2 linked regions of the Sus scrofa genome follow. The protein of the gene in region 1 purifies or fractionates together with the protein of each later gene. This does not show direct contact. Links are inferred from orthologs where the notes say so. Each region holds a gene or a part of one and is shown in the gene's direction. Other genes may lie near its edges.

Region 1 (7,275 bases):
AGGAACTCCTGTGTTTGTGTTTTTTATCTCTTACTGCTTTGTAGAAATTCTTTATATATTATGAATATGAATCATTCACTGAATATATGAAAATAACTTTTTTCACTTTATATCTTGATTTTTTACTATGTTAATGATGTCTTCGGTGAATAAGTTTTCTTGGGAGTTCCCATCATGGTGCAGCGGAAGTGAATTCTGCTAGGAACCATGAGGTTGCAGGTTCGATCCCAGGCCTCACTCAGTGGGTTAAGGATCTGGTGTTGCTGTGAGCTGTGGTATAAGTTCCAGATGTGGCTCGGATTCAGTGTTGCTGTGGCTGTGGTGTAGACCAGCAGCTACAGCTCTGATTAGACCCCTAGCCAGGGAACCTCCATGGGCCGTGGGCACGGCCCTAAAAAACAAACAAAAAGTTTTCTTTTTTTCCCTTTTTTTTGCTGCACACAAGGCATATGGAAGTTCCCTGGCCAGAGAATGAATCCCAGCCACATCCATGGCCTATGCCTTATCTGTGGCAACACCAGATCCTTCAATCCAATGCGCCAGGCTGGGGCTCAAACCTGCACCTCCACAGCAACCCAAGCTTCTGCATTCGGATTCTTAACTCACTGCACCACAGTGAGAAAACCCAGACTGCTTTTTAAATACAAGGTGAAAAAGGTACCTTTACATGAAGAAAAGACTACATGTAACATCACCAATAATAGAACACACTGACATCATATACCTCTTTTTTTTCTGCTTTATTTATATATTTTTATTTTTTACTGTTTTTGTCTTTTAAGGGCCACACCTGTGGCATGTGGAGGTTCCCAGGCTCAGGGTTGAATCAGAGCTGTAGCTGCCGGCCTACACCATGGCCATAGCAACATGGAATTCGAGTTGAGTCTTTGACCTACACTACAGCTCATGGCAATGCTGGATACCTGACCCACTGAGAGAGGCCATGGATCGAACCTGCATCCTCATGGATACTAGTCGGATTCATTTCTGCTGTGCCACAATGGGAACTCCCATCATATACCTCTTGATGAAACATACTAAGATGCACACATCATCTATACAGTGTTCCTGACAAAATTATTTAAGTTGAATCTAATAGGGAACAGATGATAAAAATTGAGGAACATTCTGCAAACAGTAGAATGGAATTCTTCAAAGAAGTGAGTGTATAAAAGAAAAAACCCAGGGATTCTTTTACAGTAAGGGATCTTAAAAAGTTATGGCAATGCCATGCATGAACCTTGACTGTATGCCAGACTGAGAAAAAAGTCAGGACATTTTGAAAATTTAAATATGGCCACTGTATGTTATAGTCAGTAGTATTATAATAATAATAAATTTTCTGGGAGTTCCCGTCGTGGCGCAGTGGTTAACGAATCCGACTAGGAACCATGAGGTTGTGGGTTCGGTCCCTGCCCTTGCTCAGTGGGTTAACGATCCGGCGTTGCCGTGAGCTGTGGTGTAGGTTGCAGACGCGGCTCGGATCCCGCGTTGCTGTGGCTCTGGCGTAGGCCGGTGGCTACAGCTCCGATTGGACCCCTAGCCTGGGAGCCTCCATATGCCGCGGGAGGGGCCCAAGAAATAGCAACAATAACAACAACGACAACAAAAAGACAAAAGACAAAAAATAAATAAATAAATAAATAAATTTTCTTGGAGTGTTAATAGAATTCCGATTATGTAGGAGAATATCTTTGTTCTTATTAGATCCTTAGTGAAATATTTAAGGGTCAAGAGTAACAGTCTTCCAAAAACTCAAGTGATTCATCATAAAACAAAACAAAAAACTCATACACGTGCTCACACATACAGAGAGAAAACAAAAGTGGTGAAATGTTCAAAATTGGTGCATATGGGTTGATATTGGTGCTCACTATATTTTTCCCATAAATTTAGGTTTTTTTTTTCCTGCTTTTTAGGGCTGCACCCATGGCGTATGGAGGTTCCCAGGCTAGGGGTGGAAATCTGAGCTACAGCTGCCGGCCCATACTACAGCCATAGCAGTGCCAGATCTGAGCTGTGTTTGGGACCAATATCATAGCTCATGGCAATGCTGGATCCTTAACCCACTGAGTGAGGCCAGGGATTGATCAAGCAACCTCATGGTTCCTAGTCGGATTCGTTTCCACTGAGCTACAACCGGAACTCTGTAGGTTTGATATTTTTGAAAATAAAAAATTGAGAAAGTAAAAAGCTCTTCAGATTCAAGCAGTGCTGTTCCAGCGGGTTTAGCATCTTTAAAATAATCATACTTTTTTTTTTTTTTTTTTTTTTTTTTGGTCTTTTCTAGGCCCACATCTGTGGCATATGGAGGTTCCCAGGCTAGGGGTCTAATTGGAGCTGTAGCCGCCGGTCTACACCATAGCTCACAGCTCACAGCAATGCCGGATCCTTAACTACTGAGCAAGGCCAGGATCAAACCCGCAACCTCATGGTTCCTAGCTGGATTCGTTAACCACTGAGCCAGGATGGGAACTAGCATCTTTAAAATAAATATTTTATTTATTTATTTTTGTCTTTTCTAGGGCTGCACCTGTGGCATTTGGAGGTTCCCAGGCTAGGGGTCTAATCAGAGCTTTTGCTGTTGGCCTAAGCCACAGCAATGCCAGATCCGAGCCGCGTTTGCAACCTAGACCACAGCTCACAGCAACGCCAGATCCTTAACCCACTGAGCGAGGCTGGGGATGGAACCCTCAACCTCATGGTTCCTAGTCAGGTTCGTTAACCACTGTGCCATGATGGGAACTCCATAAAATAAATATTTCAGAGCAGCTATTCTGATCAGTTAAAACTACAGATGATGGAGTTCCTGTTGTGGCTCAGCAGGTAAAGAACCCCGAGATAGTGTCTCTGAGGATGTGGGTTTGATCTCTGGCTTTGGTCAATGGTTTAAGGATCCATTGTAGGGGTAAGCTGCAGTGTAGGCTGTGTATGAGGCTTGGATGCAACCCCTAGCCTGGGAACTTCCATATGCCCCTGGATGGCCTTAAAAAGAAAAAAAAAGAAAAAAAGCGCAGTTGAGATTAAATGGTCAGGATGAATCTCTTTCAGAAATATAATTATTTAAATGAACAAGGGACCTCTGCAGTTATTTTTCTCACAGTCATCTTGATTAGGAAACATGATGCGTGAGTTTGGAGTCAGCTAGGCCTAAATTTGAATCATTGCTGGGTAAACCTCTTCAGGACTGTTTCCTCTTCGTAAGATGGAGAAAGAACTCCTTTGGTGGGTTGTTGAATTAAACTGTTACCTATGGTATTTACAGAGCTGGGCTTTGATTCGTGTGCAAACACTTAATTCAACCTTCCATGCTATTTGCATCGTTTCCTTCATCACACTCGAGCAATCCTCTGGGGTAAAGGTGAGAAATAAGATGACTTTTCCAAGGTCACACAGCTATTGAAGGACCCAGGTTTCCCAGCTCTTGGTCCTGTGCCCTTTACACACTCGCCGGAGAGGAGGGAGCGGCGCTCATGGGGATGCAAGGATGTAGAGGAGCAAAGGGGGAAAAGAGGCCGCGCGAGGAGAGGTGGTGTGAGACCCATGGAGGCGCTGGCCCAGGAAAGGCGCATGGAGAGGCGGGCAGCGCGTCGGGCCGGGGTAGGTAGAGGGGCTATGGCTCGTGGCCCTATGCCGGGGAGAGGAAGGAGGCCTGGGCCAAACGCGGGGGCGCAGGAGCCGAAGGCCCAGACGGCGGCGGGGGCGGGAGCAGCGGTGGACGTGGGGGGGGGTCATTTTCGCCCAGGTGAGTCAGGCGGGTGGGTGCAGGTGGGTACGGGTGGCGCGGGAGGGACAGCGCGGAGGGTCTGGACCCCACCGGGTGGGTGGGGGCGGGGCGGGGGCGGGGCCGGCTGGGGGCGGGTCTTGCTGGGCCCCCAGCTGGAGCGGCAGCTGCGGCGGCGGCGCAGGCGCGGTCCCCGCCTCCTCCTGGCCGGCAGAACGAGTGGTGGCTGCATCCCGGCTCGGCTCCCGCGTCGCCGCCGCCGACGCCGCTGCCGCCGCGAAGCCCCCTCCCCGCTTCCGCTGCGTCGCGATGAGCTCCCGGAAAGGTGAGTGGCCCGTGGCGTCCTCTCTTCCCTGCCACGCGGCCCCTGAGGCCGGTCTGCCCGACCGTTAATGTGTGTCTTCTCTTTCCTCAGTGCTGGCCATTCAGGCCCGAAAGCGGAGGCCGAAAAGAGAGAAACATCCGAAAAAGTGAGTCCACGCTGCGCTAGTCTCCGGACCCCCGCCCCTGCCCGGTCGGGGGTAGCCCGCGGCCGCGCAGGGGAAAGTTGCTCGGGTCCCCGGGGCGGGCGAGCGGGCGGGCTGATCCCCCGGGACGCCGGCGCTCGCCTCCAGCGCGCCCCGCGGGCTGCCCGGGGGGAGGGGCTGACGGTCGGGGGAGGGGCGCGCTGGCCCGCGGCCAGCCCGCTGAGCATCCCGGACCCTCGGCCCCTTGGGTCCCAAGGCACAGGGGGCTGACGGACGAGGAGGCGCCGGGCGTGCGCAACGTCCCCGGCTCGCCGAGCTGTCCCGGGGGTCGCGGGCCTTCCTGGGAGGGGCGGTGGCGTCTGCAGGCCGGGCCCGGCCCCGCCGCGCCGAGTGCCGGCGTGAGGCTGCGGCGTTGCTCCCACCTGGCCACCTGGGCCCTAGAGGAAGAGGAACGGAGTGTGAGAAAGAGTGTGTGTGTGTTGGGTGTCTCCTCCTCTTCCTCCCCGGCCCCCACCTTTCGGCCTTTCAGCTGAAAACCCGAGCTGGTTGTCAAGTGGTTTGCCTCGGGCGTGTTCCTGGCTCGAGTTCAGCTCCGAGACCTGTGCGTTTCGGCGCTTGGGTTTTTTTCCGAAACTTTCTGCCCGGGCCGAGCGTGCCTTCACTGCGCGGCGGCTGCGCCCGGGTCTCCGGCTGCGCGGGACCGGTGGGCGTGTGCGCGGGCGGTCCTCGGCGCGGCTGCCCAGCCCCTCATTGTGCTGGGAGGCGACGAACGGGGTGGTGATATTTAAAACGTGCCAGCCGCCAGCCACCCCCAGCCTGGCCGCGGACCGGAGTGGGAGCGCCCGGCGCTCGGGAAGTCTTTCCTGGAGAGCTGCTTCGGGACCGCGGAGCGCCGCCGTGTCTCTCCCTTTCTTTCCTGGTTTTGAAGAATCTATCAGCGTTCAACATCTTTACTCCTTCTCCCAGATTTGTGGCTTCCCTCTTCCATTTGAGCAAGAAATACCCTGTGTTAAATTTGCTACTATAGGGATAGCCCATCATCATCTTTAAATAAAATCACGAAATATTTCTTGTTTGTTTTCTTTAGGGGACGAACCTGCAGCCTTCCTAGGCTTTTCCCCTTCCTATTAGCCTTGATTTCTGCTTAGCGAATTTCACACCCATTGGTGGCGTCTATGAAAACTGCCTAAGTCTTTACTATTAATGTAATGTATCGTGATAGGATTTTTGTTCATTCAAACCGGAATATAACTTGAAAGTATGTTCAGCATTTCACAAAATGTCGTAGCAACATCATAATGCCTTAAAAAAAAAAAAAAGAAAGAAAAACCTACTAGAGCGAGGAAGAAGTACTTATTAAGGACTTAAGGAACTGGTGGGTAAAAATTGGGTATTACATTCTCGAAACGTTAAATAGCAATGGATATTTGATAGTTTTAGATGCTTTAAAAATTAATGCTCTCAATCAGAACCTTACATTAGGCATTTCTTTTGGTGAACGACGGAAAGCCCATAAGTAAGGACTGTAATGTTTAGGATCCTGAGTGTTGGGTTTGGAGCACAACTTTCAACTCAAAGAGTTTATTCCTGCATAGCCCCTTTTTTTTTTTTCAGAAAAGTTAATAGAAGTTGAAAAAGACATGCTGGGAGTTACCCTTGTGGCGCAGCGGAAATGAATCCGGCTAGTATCCATGAGAATGCAGGTTCAGTCAGTGGGTTGGGGATTCTGCGTTGCGGTGAGCTGTGGTGTAGGTCACAGACACGCTCGTATTCTGCGTTGCTGTGGCGTAGCCCAGCAACTACAGCTCCAATTTGACCCCTAGCCTGGGAACTTCCATATGCCGTGGGTGCAGCCCTAAAAAGACACCCCCCCAAAAAAAGAAAAATGCATGCCTTTTTTTTTTTTTTTTGTCTTTTTTGCTATTTCTTGGGCCGCTCCTGCGGCACGTGGAGGTTCCCAGGCTAGGGGTCCAATCGGAGCTGTAGCCACCGGCCTACGCCAGAGCCACAGCAACGCGGGATCCGAGCCGCGTCTGCAACCTACACCACACAGCTCACGGCAACGCCGGACCGTTAACCCACTGAGCGAGGGCAGGGACCGAACCCCCAACCTCATGGCTCCTAGTCGGATTCGTTAACCACTGCGCCACGACGGGAACTCCAAAAATGCATGCCTTTAATTTTGGTGATGGCTGTTTGTGTGCAGAGATGGGTATATGTGTGTGTGTGTTTTGTAAACATGTATGTAAAATGTAGAAAAATCGTTAAGTCAACAGGTGTTTCATATTTCAGGGTATGACTTTCCTAATGACCTAGAGCCTTTTTTGGTGTGCTGTTGTTTGGATTTATGTAGTATGTTTATAAAGAATTAGCATATAGGGAGTTCCCATCAGGGCTCAGCAGTAGTTAACCCAGCTAATATCCATGAGGATGCATGTTCCATGCCTTGCTCAGTGGGCTAAGGATCCAGTGTTGCTTCAAGCTGCAGTGTAGGTCACAGATGTGGCTTAGAACCAGCATTGCTGTAGCCCTAGCTTGGGAACTTCCATATGTCACAGGTGGAGCCCTAAAAAGCAAAAAAAAAAAAAAAGTGCATATCCACAATATTCAACTTTTACTCTCACAGGCTAATTTGTTGTTGTTTTCCCTTATCTATTGTAATCATGTGACTAGATTTGAGGGATGACGCCTCAGCCAGTGACTAAATGAACTGGCCAGTCTGTAAGGACTAGATAGCTGTGTTACATAAAGTGTTTGATTGAGGCAGTGTCATTTTTCTTTTTCTTTTTTTCTTTTTATGGCTGCACTTGCAGCATATAGAAGTTCCAAGGCTAGGGGTTGAATTGGAGCTGGAGCCGAGGCCTATGCTACAGCTTGTGGCAATGCCAGATCCTCAATCCACTGAGCAAGGCCAGGGATCAAACCTGCATCCTCACAGACACCATGTTGGGTTCCTAACCTGCTGAGCCACAGTGAGAACTCGAAGACGTGAGAACTCGAAGACGTGTTTTTTTAAAGGGGTGTTTGATGTGTTTGATTTATTTACATATTCAACAAGTATTTGCATGCTCTTCCTAGGAAAGA
Region 2 (7,275 bases), on another chromosome or scaffold:
TGTGTTGATCTGCATGTTTTGTTAATGGTTATAAAATGATGATGTCTTACTTCTATCATTGCTTCACCCTGGCCCCATATTAGCTGGAATACTTCCCTAAAGAGAAACTTTCCTTCATCAATTACTTGCTTGGTAACTGTGAGATACAGTCCTATTTGGAAAGGCAGGATACATGATTTCTCTTTGCTTATTAGTTTTCAAAATAATGAACAGGTTCCCTAGCATCACTCAAATGGGATTGGTGCATTTTTTGAAATATTGTGAATTTAAAGATTTAACCATATTTGATATGTTTCACTCCAATGTAATTTTATCTTTATAGTTACACAAAATGTCTCATATTTCGATAGGACCCTAGCATTCTCTGATTGCTGCTTTCAGCTTTGTAATATGACAAGATGTTCTAGGCTCATATTGTATATTCCCTTTATTAATACTCCCTAAGACTCAGGACTGCGTCTCCTCTACTTCTCACTCTACATAACTTTCCTGGTGCAATAGAATCCAACCACCATTTTTTTTTTTTTCTGAATCTACACACTTGATTATATATATATATATATATATATATATATATATATATTTACGCACACACTTTAATATTGGTCAAGGATAAGGCAATTGAGAGAGATGGTGGAGGAAATGTCATATTGGAAAGTGTATGCTCTGATTAAAGGCATTAAGCTTTAATAAAAGCACACAAACCTTTTTTTTTTTTTTTTTTTTGTCTTTTTGCTTTTCTAGGGCTGCTCCCGTGGCATATGGAAGTTCCCAGGCTAGGCGTCCAATCGGAGCTGCGGCCACTGTTGAACCTACACCAGAGCCACAGCAACGCAGGATCCAAGCCGAGTCTGTAGTCTACCCCACAGCTCATGGCAACGCTGGATCCTTAACCCACTGAGCAAGGGCAGGGACTGAACCTGCAACCTCATGGTTCCTATTCAGATTTGTTAACCACTGTGCCACGACAGGAACTCCACACAAACACTTCTGATTCAAGGAAAGTCTTAGCGAAGCAGGCACCCATTTGCAACCTGTGCTATATGTCCTAGCCCTGACCTGATTTTATATTGAATATTTTGAAAAATATATTTCAGAGACTCCAGATTTTGTTGTCTTTCTCTGAGGAGTGCTGATCTCCTTGAACTTGCACATTTTACAGGTGTGGGTCTGTAGAAAGCCTGCGCTGTTTTCCATTCCCACCCTCCAGCGGCCTCAACTTTGCAATTCTGTCTCCCTGCAGATCTTGTACCACAGATGTTTTAGGCTGGATCCTGACCTGGCCCTTACTCAGATTCGACTTGTTCCTCAAACATTACCTCACCACTTCCTCTTGCACTCGCACTCGCTGGCTGGTGGCAACTCACTGGTGCTCTCCTTAGATCCTTGACCACGCCCAGGCCTCTTTCTCCCTCAGAGCCTTTGATCGTGCTGTTGTCAGCCTGGATGACTCAGTCTCAACTTCACCTCCTCAGAGATGATTTAGTTTTTCTATGCAAAAAGCCTCCACCTGTTCCTCCCACCTTGCCCTATTAGCCTCTTATTTCTTTCATAGAATTCATCATAACTTTTAATTGGTTTACTTATGCTTTGTCTCCCTCACTAGAGCACAAACTTGAACTACCTGAAGAGAGAAACTGGGATCAATACCATATATGTTTTTTAACCTTGGCACCTATTACAACATTTGGGGCAAAATTTATTAAGTATTAGTTGACTGAAATAATGAGTAGAACACATATAGTGCTTTTCTTTTCTTTCTTTTTTCTTTTTTGTCTTTTTAGGGCCACACCTGTGGCATATGGAAATTCCCAGGCTAGGGGATCCAAGCTGTGTCTGTGACCCACACCACAGCTCACTGCAATGCTGGATCCATAACCCACATATCGAGGCCAGGGATTGAACCTGTGTATTCATGGATAGTAGTCAGATTTGTTTCTGCTGAGCTCCAGTCTAATGCTTTTCTTGATTCAGCTTCTTCTCACATAACCATTGAGTATGAACCTGAATTGAACCATGGGCAGTGCGGCCACCTAGGACTTTTTTTACATGAAAACCATTCTTTTGCCCACCACCCTTCCCCCTTCTACCTAGGCTAAGAGGCTTTTAGAGCTCAACTAGGCTTTATTTTCCCTTCTACAGAAAGCTTTCCTTTACTCTGTATTCCTCACTGGTCTGAGTAGCATGCACCTAAGGGTTCCAATAACTTCTCAGCTTACTCTACATAAGGCAGTGTCATGAAGTGGGCGGTGGCTGCCTCCAAATTGCCTGGATTAGAGCTATGCTCCTTACTACCACTTATCATTTGGGTACTTTAATTTCATATTACTTTACTTTCCTTATCAGTAATATAGAGCTAGGAATATACTAGCTAAAAAAAATGGCAGTTTTGGAAGATGAAGTCAGATCATATAGGTCATGTGCTCAGACCTGTCACAGAGTAAGAACACACATTTTTTAGCTATTATTTTTACACACTAATTGCCTGTTATCTTGTCTCTGCCCTATACATATCGAAAATTCCTTAAAGGCAAAAATATTGTTCTATTCACTCTTGATTCCCAAACATCCAATACATAGGAGGATTTTAGATTTACTGAATTGATTTCCTTTCTCCCTTCAAAACCCTCCAAATGACTCCAAATAACTGTTTATTCATCTCTGTTTATGTTTTCACGCTGCTTAATTCATCCAGTTGCCTTCAGTTTGGTTTCTATGTTAAAAGGGCAATCAAGGACCAAGACATTGTAGACTACTTGTCTTTCTCTAAACTTATCATTAGTGTGTGTGCATATATATATATATATATATAATAACAAAATTACTTTTTTTTCCTTCAAATTTTCTTTTCCTTGTAAAACTCGGTTATGGAGCAGTGAAGCAAAACTACATTTTTTATTCCTTTGGACAATGAACTTTAAGCAAGTTTCCTCTTAGATCTTTTTGTATTTTTGCCTTTTCTAGGGCTGCTCCTGTGGCATATGGAGGTTCCCAGGCTAGGGGTCTAATCGGAGCTGTAGCCATTGGCCTTTGCCAGAGCCACAGCAACGTGGGATCTGAGCCGCGTCTGCGACCTACACCACAGCTCACAGCAACGCTGGATCGTTAACCCACTGAGCAAGGGCAGGGATCGAACCCACAACCTCATGGTTCCTAGTTAGATTCGTTAACCACTGCGCCACGAGGGGAACTCCTTTCCTCTCAGATCTTTACATATCATCTAAAGTAATTTTTGGTCCCTTCCCTAGTTTTAATATCTGAATAGTATGTTTATATCAACTCTTTCCCAGGACCTTGATAAACGTTTAAATCAAATTTATTGTGTGAATTTACAAAGCTATATTAAAATACAATGTAATTCCTTTCCCCAATTAAAAACAAAACTGGTAGGGTTTTGTGACAAGTGAACTGGTTGCACCCTGCGCCGCGTCTGGAGCACCAAATAAGAAAGTACATCTGGTACCCGGAGCATAAAGTAGTGGCTGCAAAAGGACCCGCCCAGACTTGTCCTAAATAGGTCTCCGATTTCCAGAACTGAATCAGCTGTCAGCCAAAGCAATAGGAAGCATCTTTGGATAGACGTTTCGGGTGAGAAAACTAAGCCACTTGGGAGCAAGCAGCGCAGCTTGGGCGCCGAAAAACTAAGTAGGGAGACTTCACCGCTGGAAACAAAACTCTTTGCAGGGACTTCCGCCCTACAGGGGGCGGGGCGACGTGATGACGTTAGTCACGTTCCCTTCCCGCCCCTCTCCGCACTGTGACGTTCCCAGGGAGGAAAGAAGCGTAAACAGCGCAGGGCATTTCGGGAGCGGGATTGTTTCACGCAGGAAGCAGGCTCCATTTTAGCGCCGCCCGCCATCGCCGTCTGTTTCCCTTCCCTCCCCCTGACCCCTCCCGTCCCCAAGCCCCAACGGGAATCCTGGGCCTAGGATCCGAGACGCCGGAGTGAAAGGAGAGAAGGGGGAAAGGAAGAAAGGGAAGAAGCGGGGAGAAAAGGCGAGTCGGGAAGGGTAGAGTGGTGGAGACTAAGGTGCGAAGCGTGCAGCCCACCGGACGGACTGACGGACGCGCCTGTGCATCTGCTGCCGCGGCTGCGGCGCCCGCGCGAGTCGCGTCGAAGCGGCGGCGGTGGCGGCTGCGGCGGTGGCAGCAGCGGAAACAAGAGGGGAGCAATGGCGGCCGACAGCCGAGAGGAGAAAGGTTAGTGCAGAGCAAGGTGACGAGCGGAGGCGGGGCTCGGGAGTAGGTCGACGGAGCCGGGGTCGTCGTTGTGGGTTGGGGGTGGGGAGGTTAGCTTGCCCCGCGCGGGGCCGGTCTCCCCTTCGAGACGTTTGGACTCATTGGAAAAGACCAGGCCTGCCCTTTCCCCTTTCGTCCTCAATCTCCATATGACCTAACACTTCATCTAGCCATGGGTTTTTCTTTGATCCTAATTCTCTTCTTTACTTAACGTTTGTCTGTTCTGGGCGCGGCTGAGACTAGGCCTGTTCTGAGTTTCAGGCCCTTAGGTTTATTTCCTGGTAGTATTATGCGGATGTAATGCGTATTTTCAGAACAGCCTTTTTTGTTAGGCTAAATTTCGAAAACCCTTAGTGCTACAATTAAAGATGGTAGTTTAGTAAGCAAGCATCTTTAAGAAGTGGTATAGGTTAGGTTATTAATCTCGAGAAATGTCTACCAATAAATTAACTTCTGCCCGTTCTTGTTAACTAGGCAAAATGGCAAGAATGGCCTCTTTGGTTCCTCAAATGCTTATTTTGGAAAACATGTTTGGAAAGATGATTATGTGACTTAGGCCAAGCCAAGCCAAGCCAAGCCAAAAAAAAAAAATCCTAGCCACTGTTCTGATAGACACATGTTGTGCGTACCCCCAGAGGTACAATCAGAAACAAATGGATGTAATTCATAGAGAGTCGGAGGGATACAATTACTTTAAAATATGGGAAGAACTGATGTTGCCAGAATGGAATGTCATGTCTTTTGAAATACCGACTTCCCAGGCCCTAGAAATGTTAAAAGTAGATCCCCATCAATACATGGCTGAAAGGTGGTTTAGACTGGATCCTGCAAGGTTTTTAACAACCCTGTGGTGGTAGTTTTGGAAAGGTAATAGTTGATAAAAATATGGCCAGCTGCTGTCCTGTATTTCACAGATATACTCTTTTGTGTTGATAATTAATTTTAGGTGGTGATTTGTTGAAAGGGCTAGAGTAACATTAAATTGGACTTAAGAAGAGTCTCCAGTGAACTGCTCCAGGATTGGAACAAGCTCGGGAAATGGAGTGGACAGGAATGTATTTAAGATACTGCTCCTGTCTGAAGGCAGCACAATGATTAGGTTATAATAGTTTAATTTTCTTTCCTTAAACGAATCCTAGAGATACTCCCTCCCCCTTTGATAAATCCAGAAGGAATATGAAAATAGGATTGCATGGTGTTAGTGGAAAAAAAAGAAAGTGCTTTTAATTAGTGAAGTAGTGTTAAATAGATGACTTAATGTGAATTCAGTCAACACTGTATTGTGTTAGAGTGTAACAGATTGTGAGTTGTGTGTTTGGGAGTGGGTGATGGTGTTTGTGGGTGAGATGAACTAGATAGAAAATGAATAAAGCTCAGTGTTTCTCAAGAATTAATTATCTGTTAACCATGAACATAGTTGTGAGTCAGTTGTAGGGTAGACATGGTAATGTACAAGGAAGAAGAAAAGTAGGTGATGTTTTTAAAAATTTGTTTTAGGAGTTCCCTGGTGGCTCAATGGGTTAGAGATCCGTTGTGGTTACTGCTGTGGAGGATTTGATTCCTAGCCCTGGAGCTGCCACATGCCATGGGCGTGGCCAAAAAAAATGAAATAAATAAAAAATAAAAATTTTGTTCTAGAAATGGATTTAGTGATGAAAATGTAGTCTATGTATGTAAACGTTGTAACTACTTTTGGTAAATAGTAATGCCATTATTAGCAATCCTTAGGATAAATTGTTCAATCTTTGAAAGACCTCACATTTATGTAGTTTTTAAAAAACTTAATTTCCATAATTCAGCCTTTTTATTTCAAAAGTTATGATATAATTGCTTATCTTAATAGTTTAAGATTGTCTCCAGTTTACTGGAAAAGCCAGCAGATGCAATCTTACTGTAATTGCTTATTTAATTTTGGAATGGAAAGGTTTCTAGAATAAACCAGTTTGCAAATGAGACAGGCCTAGGGTATCTCACTTACCTGATATTTGTGAAACAGCTGGAATAATAGCTGGAATTAGAGTTAGTACTCGACTCTTTATTCCCATGTTGAACAGCAAAAGTGGAAAGCTAAATACTTATTGTCAACAGTTATTTTATATAAAACATTAGGTAATTATAAAAATAAGCCCTGTAAGAATTTTGGACATGTCACAAAACTTAGATTCCCTTCTTAAAAGCGTCCATAAATGGTATAAGATCTTGATATGAAATGAGTTTAAGTTGCAGAAGTTTGCTATAAATCACAGAACAGTTAAAAAAACTTTCAGTTACAAAATCCTTGGATTATTGGGCATTAGCTGTGTAATAAGCAGATGTTATCATCTATAAATGCTCATGTAATACCCATACTTAGAAGCTGAAACCTATAGCTGGAGAAATTGCCAGCTCCCTCTGATTCCCTTGGTGAGTCTTTGTCCAAAAAATGGATTTGGAAGATGTTGAAATGTTAGTGGTGTTAACTAATATTAAATACCATTTTTCTTTGAGGAGGAAAATACATGTTTTCTATTATAAACACCTTTATACATTTTATTTCTTAAGCTCTAATAAAGTTCTCGCTGAAGAACAGTTATACAAGTTTAATATACCTAAAATGTGGATAATAAGTTACCACTTTGAAGAGTAATATGTTTTCTGCATTACCAGACTGGAAGCTCCTTAAGGGCAGGAGTGTGTCTAGTTTACCAGGTTCTTGGTGTACAATGATTGTGTCTTGGTGCCTTGAGTAAATGATTTAGAAGGTTGTAAATCATTAACTCAAGGTTGGACTTCATTAATAACTGATTGGTTATGTGATATTTGCTATTGATGTCCAAAACTAAGAATTTCTTTTTTTTTAAATTTAGCAATATTTATTTATTTATTTTGATAGTAGGAAAATGTAACATACTTTTCTCAGTAATTGACAGAACAAGCAAACAAAAAAAGTATAAACACGGAGAAGGACTGAAAACTAGGATTGACAAATTTGATCTAATTGGAAATTATAGAACGTTGTACTCAACATTTCAGAATACACATTCTTATACATATTCT

What was found. Proteins that work in one complex are often made in the same cells at the same time.
Region 2: the proteins of SRPK2 (region 1) and YTHDC1 purify together in Homo sapiens (affinity purification with mass spectrometry; 4 studies listed by BioGRID and IntAct, with this or other methods). This does not show direct contact. The link is inferred for Sus scrofa from reciprocal best matches to the Homo sapiens genes SRPK2 and YTHDC1.

The regions. Positions count from the first base shown.
Region 1 is NC_010451.4:105,260,873-105,268,147, reverse strand, and holds the start of SRPK2 (SRSF protein kinase 2), read left to right. Parts: upstream 1-3,458; 5' UTR 3,459-3,473; coding exon 3,474-3,600; intron 3,601-3,879; exon of another isoform or gene 3,880-4,033; coding exon of another isoform or gene 4,034-4,049; intron 4,050-4,139; coding exon 4,140-4,194; intron 4,195-7,275. UniProt on the Homo sapiens protein: Serine/arginine-rich protein-specific kinase which specifically phosphorylates its substrates at serine residues located in regions rich in arginine/serine dipeptides, known as RS domains and is involved in the phosphorylation of SR splicing factors and the regulation of splicing.
Region 2 is NC_010450.4:66,082,755-66,090,029, forward strand, and holds the start of YTHDC1 (YTH domain-containing protein 1), read left to right. Parts: upstream 1-3,784; 5' UTR 3,785-4,172; coding exon 4,173-4,200; intron 4,201-7,275. UniProt on the Homo sapiens protein: Regulator of alternative splicing that specifically recognizes and binds N6-methyladenosine (m6A)-containing RNAs.